3 linked regions of the Oryctolagus cuniculus genome follow. The protein of the gene in region 1 binds, or shares a complex with, the protein of each later gene. Links are inferred from orthologs where the notes say so. Each region holds a gene or a part of one and is shown in the gene's direction. Other genes may lie near its edges. The genes, in order: CEP290, TMEM107 and TMEM231.

Region 1 (3,649 bases):
TCATATGCTAAAGAAGCCAGATAAAGTTGGAAATACTTCAGTACTGAAGAAAGGATTAGAAAGTAGGGCTCTGGAATCAGACAGATTAAGTTCTAGTCCTATTTCTTTTATCTGTTAACTTTGTAAAAATGGGTGAGTTATTTCTGATTTCCTATTTTATATCTAGCTCCAGGAAAATGTCAAGCATTTTCAATAAGTATTTATTAAATAAATGAATTATGGATTGATTTTAATGTGTTTAGACAGACAACTACTATGAAATAGAAAGTTAGGGCAGTTGAAGATACTGGTAGGAAAGTGGTTGTCAAATCTTAGCTGAAAAGGTAAGGAAGTCAAGATTGAGGGGAAGCCAGAGCTTCTTCCGTGTCTTCCAGCTAGGTTCAGGGGCCCAAACCTTTGGGCCATCTTTTGATGCTTTTTCCCAGGCCATTAGTAGGGAGCTGGATCGGAGGTGGAGCAGCAGGGACGCAAACCTGTGCCCATAAGCGATGTCTGCATAACAGTGGCGGCTTTACCCACTGTGTCACAATGCCAGCCCCAATTTGATGTTTTGAGCCATGGTCTTTATTAATAGAAATATGGAACAAAATGGGTTGACTATCAGATTTTACAGATGATCTAAATTTGGGCTGTTCAATATGGTAGCACTAACTGCTTGTCATTTGCATTTATATTAGCTCAAAAGTAAAATCAAAAATTCAGTTCTTCAGTTGTACTAGCCACATTTCAAGTACTCAGTATCTGTATGTGAATGGTAGCTACTGCTTTAGACAGTGTAGAGAACATTTCCATATTCTAGGATGTCCTGTTGGATAATAGTGGTCTAAATGGTCCATAATGTGAGAGAAAGAGCCGGTTAAGAGCATCAGGGATCAGTGACTAGGGTAGAAGCCCTTGTAGTTTGGAGCCTGGTTTTGAAAGGCTCAGGAGAAATCTTGGTAGTTCATCAAATACATTTTGTGTCTTTGCAGTAGAGTCCATAAAACTAAAACTGTGACTCAGTAGTTATAACAGACCCTGAGTGGTTAATAGTCAATTGTTTGTAGCTCTGGATGGCTTAAGAAAAGCTTAAGCAGTTGTCAGCCTGTGAACTAAAGCTTAAATAAGCCAAATCCTTTAAAAAATCGTCCTTTAGCTAGTAAGCTTTTAAACATCTGGTGCTGAAGGATAATGAAAATTGAAAGACAAGAGAATTGTTTGCTTGTTGTTAATTCATTCGAACTTCCACATATAATGGGATGATTGATACTTTTGCTTTATTTAAGATGGCTCAGCAGTCTGCTGGTGGACGGGACACTCGGTTTTTACGTGATGAAATTCGCCAACTTGAAAAGCAGTTGGAACAAAAAGACAGAGAATTAGAGGATATGGAGAAAGAGTTGGACAAAGAGAAGAAAGTCAATGAACAAGTAAGGCACATTTTTTTTTTTTCAGTGAATCTTAACTGTTCATGTTATCTTTGTAGAATAACTGATTTTGCTTCTTATAATTATTGGTTATATTATCAGTTTCTATAATATATGTTATGTTTATAGAAATTTGTTCACTGTCTAAGGTTGTATATCACTGTTGTCATTACATCTTTAAAATATAGGGGCTCAGTACTTCTAGTGTGGCTTGGAGATTAATTCTTTATATTTGGAAGAATGTTTTTCTCAGGACATTGAAATCACATACATCAAATTGATAGTTTTGAATATTGGTATGATAACATTAGTAAGTATTAAAAAACAGGTGATTTTCTTGCTGCCGTAGTTTATTTTGGTTACAAAGTTACATCTGTTTAATGTGCCTGTGTTAGTAGTTGATTTGGAAATGAATCTTTAATTTATGCTTTCCATATGGTTAATTAATTTCTTTGTTTTATGTAATATATAGGTTCTTGACAATTTGTGTTAACACTAACATTTTATAAATCAATTCATATTATAATCATTTTGCAACATAATTTTTTATCTCATGTTATTTTTTTGTTAAAAATCATGCAATATTTACCTAAATTTAATTTTAGGGAAAATAACATAATCTTTGCAGATAAATTTGTATTTTCTGTGTGAAAATAAGTTGTTTCTTATTTTGCCTCAACTGACCATAAACTTTGAATAGGCACCATGCTGCTGTGGTCCCTCATGGTGGACACTGTCCCAGCCCTCATGCCTAGAAGCTTTTTTGTGGCATATTCTCATAATCTTTATTTGTTATGCTCCGAGAAATGGAGTTAAAAATTTTAAGTAAACCACAATGATTGTCAGATAATATTGCTGTGTAAGACACTATATCATGAATTAGTTTGTAAGGAAAAGTATTCCCATTCTTCTTCTTTTTCTTCTTCTTTTTTTTTTTTTAAATAATGAAAGCCCTTGCGTGACAATCCAAATTTATTGAAATACTGATGTAAAGTTACACAAAATTGCACCACTTTAATTAAGGCTTATAGTTTACATTTGTCTACCTTAAAGTAGTTGTAACGTTAGGTTTGTCAATTTAAATACTGTGGCTTCCTGTTGAATAGACACACAATCTTTACACCCAAATGTTAATGCATACAAAGCAACAGGGCATTGTTAAATACAATATCAATAATTACTGCATATAATAATTAATAATTAATTACGCCTTCTGACCAATTACACATGATTACAATTACTTCCCACTTTCACATCCACAGGACTGGCCCACCATTTAACATCTCAACCAAAATATCGCACATATGAAACAATATAACAGGCAAAAGTGCTAAACCCTGTATATTTGATATCGCAGATACACCTATGCATGAGCAAACAAGGGATTCACAGTGAGAATCTACAGCTTCAGAAGCCTGAAAATGATTGACAAAAACTGTTAAATGATTAAAAAGTTGTTTGCAACTTGTTGTAGACCCCCACTGTATGCACAACATTAAAAATCATTCCCTATGTAAACAAAAAAAGAAACCCCTACCAAGAGAATTGAAAAGTCTGAGCATTTCTTTCTCAATGGATAGTAAAGGTAGTGTCTTCAAGACATTATAGTGAAAGGACTGTCATATTTTAAAGACAAGATCTTTGTCACCACAGGCTTTTTTAAAAGTTTTAAAAAACTATATGACTGTGTTAATTAAAGTGCTTATTTTGTACAATATGATGATAATGATCTTGAATTTCTTCAAAAAATTACAATAAGTTACAAGTATCAAGCAAAGCTATCTAGAGTAGTCTATATAAGAGCTCCTTGGGCTTTGTTTTGTTATGCTAAAATAGTGGTGCTTTTAGGGTTTACATTATTGTACTCCAATACAAAGTATGGGTGTGTTAAAATATACAACACACCATTTTCATACATGTACAATATTGGTGAATGAAGAATGTCTCTTAGCTATAATACTGAATGTAGCCTCTGGTTTACCAGCTGTATACTCTAGGGCTATTTATAAGTAAGAACCTCTCTTGTGATACTGGAAAGTGATTAGAATGTGCAAACTGATACAATAGCTTTCATCTGCCTCTTAAAGTGTATCATCCCAGGAAAGTCCATTTAAGATGTTGGTAGGTTTAACAAAGTTGGAATTCTGGCGCTGTTGAGTTGGGTGACAGTTCTTCAGACCTGACTCAGAGCTACAACACATTTAGTATATTAAAGCAGCTGACATGATGACTTTTGGTAGGCC
Region 2 (4,380 bases), on another chromosome or scaffold:
CACTGGCAAACCATATGGGCGCCAGTTCAAGTCCTGACTCCACTTCTAATCCAGCTCCTTGCTAATGCACCTGGGAAAGCAGCGGAAGATGGCCCAAGTGCTTGGACCCATCACCCACAAGGGACACCTGGATGGAGTTCCCGGCTCCTGGTTTCGGCCTGGCCCAGCCCTGGCTGTTGTGGCCATCTGGGGGAGTTAACGAGTGGATGCAAGATCTTTCTCTGCCTCTTCCTCTCTGTAACTCCACTTTTCAAATAAAATAAATGCATCTTTTAAAAAAAGGTAGAATGAGAAGCTCGTGTGCGGCGGCGGTGTCGGCAGCGGCTGCAAAGAGAAGAGTTTGGCGCGATGTCTCATACCATTTTGCTGGTACAGCCTACCAAGAGGCCAGAAGGCAGAACTTATGCTGACTATGAATCTGTGAATGAATGCATGGAAGGTATTTGTAAAATGTATGAGGAACATCTGAAAAGAATGAATCCCAACAGTCCGTCTATCACATACGATATCAGTCAGTTGTTTGATTTTATTGATGATCTGGCAGACCTCAGCTGCCTTGTTTACCGGGCTGATACCCAGACATACCAGCCTTATAACAAAGACTGGATCAAAGAGAAGATCTATGTGCTCCTCCGCCGGCAGGCCCAACAGGCGGGAAAATAATGGAGTGGAAGCAGTAGGGGGATGGGGGTGGGCTTGGAACACAGGTGTGTACAGCGTGCTGTAGTGGGAGTTTTGTATTATAGTGATCCTGTTTCCACTTGGTACACTCTAGCCAGATTGAATGTATCAGATGAAGTGTGAGAATGTTGTTCAATCTGAAACCCCCATTGCCCCTTTTTTCTTTTCTTTTTCTTCCCTTTTTTTTTTTTTTTACTTAAACATTTTTATGAGGATTTAGATGGAATTTTTTTGTCAGTTAATGTTGGTTCCAGAGCTTCAGACTGTTGAGATCTGCTTTATAACAGTCACTGTACTAACCCTTAGAGATGGGGTGGGGGGTGGCTCAGTTTAGTTACATCCTCAAGGCAAACTCTTAGTGGAAAATAAATGTTCTTTAGTTATAAAAAAAAAAAAAGGTAGATTGAAATACACAAAAGATGTTAAAATCTATGTGGTCACCATGCTACTAAAAAGATCTAGTTGTGTTTGTAGGACACTACTGAACCGGGATTCTGAAAACTGGCAAATAATGGAAAAAAAAAAAAAGGACCCATTTATCCTGCCTTTCCTGTATGACTCGTATCTCATGGAAAATTCTTACTGATAAAAGAATTCTAGCTGGTAGATGCAGAAGAGGGCTCGAATTAGGCCATCCCCATTTTGCAATCGCTATTGAAATCATGCAGTTAGGCAATGAGGACCCGTGGTACCATTAGGTGAGAATGGATGAAGAATTTTATCACGGGTGGCTCAGCCTGACCGCACCCGAAGCCACCACTCAGACTTCAGCACCACAGACAGACAGACACACAGACAAGCAGGATTCCTGATGAGGTGAACAGAAAGTACAAACCATCCCTCGGGATGTGATCTTACCAGAAAACTGAATGACACATAGATCAACCATTAGACCTGACCATCAGTTTGCAGGAAACACAGTGCCAGGAGAGAATGAAATGACGCCACACGTGGCCCAGTATCTTCAGCAAGAAAAGAAGGAAGGTGAGGTGATGGGGAGGAGGGCAAACCCAAGATTAACAGAGATTTCAGACATGTCAGCCAAGTGGACTTTATTTGTACCCCAATGCACACGTGTGGGGTTGTGGTGGAGGGGAGGGGGCAACAAAGCTGACCACGTGCTGACAACTGTTGAGGCAGAGCAGTGGCCCTCCCAGGGGTTTGTTATACTGTTTCATTTTTACGTTGTGTTTGAAATTTCCTAGGATGCCAAAAAATGAAAAGTTTGCAAGTTCTTTTGTCACCAATTCAAATGCTGAGATACCGAATCCAGCCCTGGAGTGAGTGGCCACCTACGGGAGGACAGCTGGTCACCCGCAGCACAGCCCATGGCCACCAGCAGGCTCTAAAACCCAGGCAAGAAACGACTTTCTCTGAGGCAAGTTTCTATAAACCAAGGTTGTGGACAAGGACAAAGCAGACATAGGCTGCCCACTCCCTGTTCATGAGTCCACACCTAAGGACCTGAGAACTCGGTTTGTACTGTCTAGCCCGTCTCCTAGGCAGAACGCCTACTGAGCAGAATGCTCCAAACCTCCAGCTGTTGAACGCAAAATCCTTGGGTCACCTTGACTCTCCCTTTTCCTCACCCACCCACAGGCCCCGAGCCAGACCCTCTCCCCAATCCTTCTGCTTTGCTCCATCGTCTTTGCTTCACCCTGTCCTTTCTGGATACTTCTATGGCTTCCTCGTTAGTCTCTCCATATTGCAACCTGGGTCGTGGAGAATACGAATCTGACCACGTCGCGCCTGGTGGCTGCAAGGCCTGCCGCGACCACGCTCCACCTCCTTTTGGGCTGCCTACCACTAGGCTTTGCAGTGCAGGCTGACTTGAAGGCTGGGGTTACTCTCCTCAGAAGCGGGGAGGGAAGCCCCTTGGGTGTGCGCAAGCAGCAGGGGTCTTCCTGGAGCCCGTGCGGCCGGTACCTCGGAGACCCCGGAACCAGAGCTGAGCCTTGCGTCCCAGGCAGCTCCAAACCTCCTGTGCGGGACGCTTCGTCCACGCTCGCCCTGTCCAGTCCCGGCGGGGCCGTCCCTAGGCTGAGGCTGCCACCATCTTCTGCACTATGCAAATCCCTCACCGAACCCGGCAAAGATGTCTGGGGTGCTCCGACCACCAAGGGCTCCGTGACAACGGGCCTGCCGGACAAGGTAGGTCCAGTGAACGTTCCACGTTGGGCTCAGGGCACAAGGAAGCTACGAGGACGGAAAGGGAAGACCGCGTCTGAGCCTCCAACCTAAGACCGGCACGCCGGCCGCAGCAGTCCGCGAGCACCTCCTCCGCGGACAGGCCATTCCCGGCAATGCAGCCTGGGGCCGCGCCGCTCCGGACCTGAGCAGCCAGCGAACCCCCGGACGTAGTCCTCCGGTTAGGAGGCTGGCGGCCGCAGCGGGGTCCCCGAACACGGCGCACTTGCACGACGGCGGCTCGAGAATTTACGGCTCTCGCGAGATCTTCAGAACCCGAGGCGCACGGTCCGCGTACGCAGTTACCAAGGCAACGGGGCGGCCCCTGAGGCGCGCGAAGGCCGCGGGCCGGGAGAGGTTTCCCAGCGCCGCCGCCCGCGGCCCTGAGGAGCATGAGCCGGATCTCGGGGCTCGTGCCCTCCCGCTTCCTGACGCTGCTGGCGCATCTGGTGGTCGTCATCACCTTATTCTGGTCGCGGGTAAGACCCACGGCCGCCACTCCGCGTCGCCATCTCGCCGTGGTCGCCGCGCCCACCCCGCCCGGGGTCTCAGCCGGCCTCTCTCACTTCCTTTCCTTTTCTGCCCGCTCCCCAGGACAGCAACGTCCAGGCCTGCCTGCCCCTCCGATTCACCCCCGAGGAGTATGAGAAGCAGGACGTGCAGTGAGCTCTTGGGGGGGTGGGGGTTCGAAGGAAGAGGCGGTGGGAGTCCCGGAGGCCGGGGGTCCTGAGCCGCTCCCCTTCCTCTCTGCAGGCTGGTGGCCGCCCTCTCGGTCACCCTGGGCCTCTTTGCCGTGGAGCTGGCCGGCTTCCTCTCAGGAGTGTCCATGTTCAACAGCACCCAGAGCCTCATCTGTATCCTTTCTGCCCCCACGACCCGTTTCCAGCGCGACTCCCTTCAGCGACCCCCTTCCCCCCAGGAGCCCCGCCTCTGCTTAGGCAGTGCAGGGATTTGACACAATCCTCAAACAGTTGTGGATGCCGCTGTGCACCGGGCCCTGGAGGTAAATGGGGGTGAGGCGGAGGCAGACACACACACACACACACACACACCCCACTATCCTCTAGGAGGGGGTAAAAGAGCCAAGGATTGAGGGAGGCGCTTGACTCTCCAGTTGCGGGCCTCCTGGTGGAGAGTGATTCCAGCAGAGAGGATCAAGTCGCTGTCCGCATTCCTGTGGGGTCCATGGGGGCCTGCTCTGACCTCCCCTCGGGGGTGCAGGCTGGCCCCTCCATGTGGGGTGAGGGTAGCCTGGGGTCTCGGCAGTGCAGGCTCAGCGCAGGCCGCTACACGTGGGCCTGTTAAAATCAGAAGGCAGGGCTGCTGACTCCCGCCGTCGCACAAGGCCTGGGAGCTCCACCACTGGCCTGCCATAGCCCGTCGCTGTTGTGGCCCCAAGACTTTCCTTGACTCCTGTGTGTCGCCCACAAGCCATCGCAGCGCACTGTAGTGCATCTGTAGCCCTGTCGTTCTTCATATTCGAGCGCTGGGAGTGCACCACGTACTGGTACA
Region 3 (3,224 bases), on another chromosome or scaffold:
ATGAATGGCGGGAGGCCTGGTGATCTGCCATTGGCTTGGAGAACACATCCCAGTTAGGATTGGGGTGGTGGTTGGTGGTTTTTTTTGTTTGTTTGTTTTTGTTTTTTCCTGCTTTAGAAAATTGGCTTCTGGAGAAGTAGCAGTTTTGAGGTGCTACTTAAACTTTCGATACTAACTCAGGCATATTTATGAAAAAGGAAAACTCAAGTAACGAAACCAAACGAGACAAAATGAGCCGATCAGAGGAGACGCAGGCTGTGCGGCTGCCGGCGGCTGTTCTGGCCCCTGCAAGCGCCCATCCAGTTCAGCCCCGAGCATCTGCAGAGCCCAAGTGGAGTTCAGGACCACGTCCACTGTGTCTTCCCCCGGGACTGTTTGTTTTTCTTTCTTGGTCGCGGGGAGGGAGCTGGCGCCTGGGTTCAGCGGGACCCTGTGCCATTGTGTTTGTGCAGCAGTGAAGTGGCTGCTTCCCAGACTTAGTGGGCGGCCCCCTGTGGCTTTCCCAGACTAGAGAAGAAGACCGCAACCAAGATGGGAAAATGGACGTGCTGCATTTCAGCCTGGAGCTTCCCCTGCAGCCCACGGAGCACGTTCTCGGCGTGCAGCTCATCCTGACGTTCTCCTACCAGCTGCACGTGAGTCGGTGCTTAGGGAGGCCCACCTCTCCCTCCCGTCCTGCAACGGACCAGCGCCCTGTAGGATTAGCACAGCAGAAGGCTCTTTCCCGGATGAAGGTGGTGGTTTGACCGAGGCAGCTAAGAACTCTTCCCTTGGGGTCACTAGTTTACAGGGCTGTGAGGGAGTCGGGGGCTGGGGCAGAGTGCTTCCTGCCCGGCCGAGGGTATGGGAGTCGCCGTGGACGGGTGACTCTGGGAACCCAGAGCCGCTCGGACCTGCTCGCTGCTTCTCGCGCTTTCAGAGGATGGCGACGTTCGCGATGCAGAGCATGGCGTTCCTGCAGTCCTCGTTCGCCGTCCCCGGGTCCCAGCTGTACGTGAACGGAGACCTGAGGCTGCAGCAGAGGCAGCCGCTCCCCGCCGGCGGCCTTGACGTCCGGTACAACGTAAGGCGGGCTCCCGCGCAGGCTCTTCAGGAAGGCCGTGGGGGGTGGAATGCAAAGAGAAGTTTATTGTGGTGCAAAAAAGTCTTTGAAATCTGTGTAGTTTCTCCGGAATAGGCATTTTCTGCCAAACCTCATGTATGTTACTGTGTATACAGTTCTTAGAAATGAAAGTTGGGCCGGCGCCGCGGCTCACTAGGCTAATCCTCCGCCTTGCGGCGCCGGCACACCGGGTTCTAGTCCCGGTCGGGGCGCCGGATTCTGTCCCGGTTGCCCCTCTTCCAGTCCAGCTCTCTGCTGTGGCCCGGGAGTGCAGTGGAGGATGGCCCAAGTCCTTGGGCCCTGCACCCGCATGGGAGACCAGGAGAAGCACCTGGCTCCTGCCTTCGGATAAGTGCGGTGCGCCGGCTGCAGCGCGCTGGCCGTGGCGGCCATTGGAGGGTGAACCAATGGTAAAAGGAAGACCTTTCTCTCTATCTCACTGTCCACTCTGCCTGTAAAAAAAAAAAAAAAAAAAAAAAAAAGAAATGAAAGTTGGAAATACCAGTACCATTCCAATGAGGAAAAAAACTCCTTTAACTTTTTTAAATGGACCACATTTCTAGCTGCTTTACCTTTTTCTTTGCTCTTCTCTGAATGCTGTCTTTTATCTTTTTAATGTGGAGATGGAAGTGGATACAGAGCAAATAGTAAGCATATAATCCTTTGAAGCAGGAAATGATTTTCCAACTCCTAATTTTATTTGGTATAATTTGGTATATAGATCTTCAGATACAAAGTCCGGGTTAAGTTGCTGCTTTTCAGTCTTGCCCCCTTATTCACACTGATTATAGCTAGGGTGACCAGAAACCCAGTTTGCCCGGAACAGCCTTTGTTTATGTCTGTAATAACCAGCGACATGTTACTTTTCTTCTTTAAAAAATGTACTTGAGAGGCTGACAGCTCTCCAAATGCCCACGATGGCCACAGGGTCAGAGCTGAGAGCTGGGAACTCAGTCCAGGTCTCCCACGTGGGTGGCAGGGACCCGAGTACTCGAAGCGTCACTGCTGCCTCCCAGGGTCTGCATTGTCGGGGAGCTAAAGTCAGAAGCTGGAGCCAGGCATCTAACTCAGGCCTCCCTGACAGGGGCATGTTAGCCGTGAGCATGAAAGTCCACCAGAAAGGGGAATTTTACACATAGCTTTTAAACCCCTAAATGATGGATACTGACCCACAACAGGAAGAACTGAGAGTAAGCAGACTTGACTTATCTTTGAAGAAAAAGCTGTTGCTACTGGAATAGGCCATTGAGAGCGAGACGGTGGTGTCTGGGACCCGGCTGGGTGGGCAGGTGGGGAGCGGGGAGAGGGAGAGGACTCACCCACGGCCTCCCACTGTGCCCCAGGTGTCTGTGATCAACAGCACCAGCCCTTTCGCCCGAGACTACGACCTCACCCGCATTGCCGCTGCCTACCAGGAAAGGAACGGTGAGTGTGGGGGAGCCCGCCCTCAGCCCCGCTCCAGCGCCTTCCAGCCTGGTGGGGGTCGCGGGAGAACAGGCTTGGAACCCTGCGACCACAGTGGTCCTTTTGTGTCTTCAGACCCCGCCCCCCACCCCTCTGGTCCGTTAATGATTAATTGCTATGCTTATGCCATCACTGGCTTGGTGATTTCCTTAAAAAAAAAAAAAAAGGTTAATTAAGGTGTTGCTCATACCACACCTGTGGGAGATGAGGGGCGATTGCGGTCTTGTTTTCAGAAGAAACCGAGCGTGTTGGCAGCTCAGCGCGTGCCAGCAGCCCCCTGCGGTCCTGACTGGCAGGTGGGGCCCTGGCACTGCCCGCAGAGCCCCAGAGTGCTGCTCACGGGCCTGAGGTTGTCTCCAGAGGACTCTAACCTGCTGCTTGGCAACCAGACGTCGTGGGTACCACGCTCAGTCATGTGCACGTGAAAGGAGTTCGGTTCCAGGGTTTCTCCCTATGTTTAGGTCGTACAGAGTCAGCAGCATTCCAACAACACAGGACGCATTAAGACAGAACCAAAACACACTACATTATTCCATACACACTACATTATCCCATTCACTTTTGATCCATATATGGGTTTTTACAAAATATATATTTGAGTATTTAACTGTTACAGTGTGGAAGGGATCCACATTTAGCTTTGGGATCCACATTAGCT

Evidence for each region.
Region 2: CEP290 (region 1) and TMEM107 share a complex: the UniProt entries of both Homo sapiens proteins name them as parts of the tectonic-like complex. The link is inferred for Oryctolagus cuniculus from reciprocal best matches to the Homo sapiens genes CEP290 and TMEM107.
Region 3: CEP290 (region 1) and TMEM231 share a complex: the UniProt entries of both Homo sapiens proteins name them as parts of the tectonic-like complex. The link is inferred for Oryctolagus cuniculus from reciprocal best matches to the Homo sapiens genes CEP290 and TMEM231.

What each region holds. Positions count from the first base shown.
Region 1 is NC_091442.1:90,800,462-90,804,110, reverse strand, and holds part of CEP290 (centrosomal protein of 290 kDa), read left to right. Parts: intron 1-1,265; coding exon 1,266-1,409; intron 1,410-3,649. UniProt on the Homo sapiens protein: Involved in early and late steps in cilia formation. Its association with CCP110 is required for inhibition of primary cilia formation by CCP110.
Region 2 is NC_091448.1:52,667,090-52,671,469, reverse strand, and holds the start of TMEM107 (transmembrane protein 107), read left to right. Parts: upstream 1-1,440; 5' UTR 1,441-1,665; intron 1,666-1,886; 5' UTR 1,887-3,260; coding exon 3,261-3,347; intron 3,348-3,462; coding exon 3,463-3,525; coding exon of another isoform or gene 3,526-3,530; intron 3,531-3,621; coding exon 3,622-3,722; intron 3,723-4,291; coding exon 4,292-4,380. UniProt on the Homo sapiens protein: Plays a role in cilia formation and embryonic patterning. Requires for normal Sonic hedgehog (Shh) signaling in the neural tube and acts in combination with GLI2 and GLI3 to pattern ventral and intermediate neuronal cell types.
Region 3 is NC_091449.1:57,924,410-57,927,633, reverse strand, and holds part of TMEM231 (transmembrane protein 231), read left to right. Parts: intron 1-506; coding exon 507-635; intron 636-919; coding exon 920-1,063; intron 1,064-2,445; coding exon 2,446-2,527; intron 2,528-3,224. UniProt on the Homo sapiens protein: Transmembrane component of the tectonic-like complex, a complex localized at the transition zone of primary cilia and acting as a barrier that prevents diffusion of transmembrane proteins between the cilia and plasma membranes.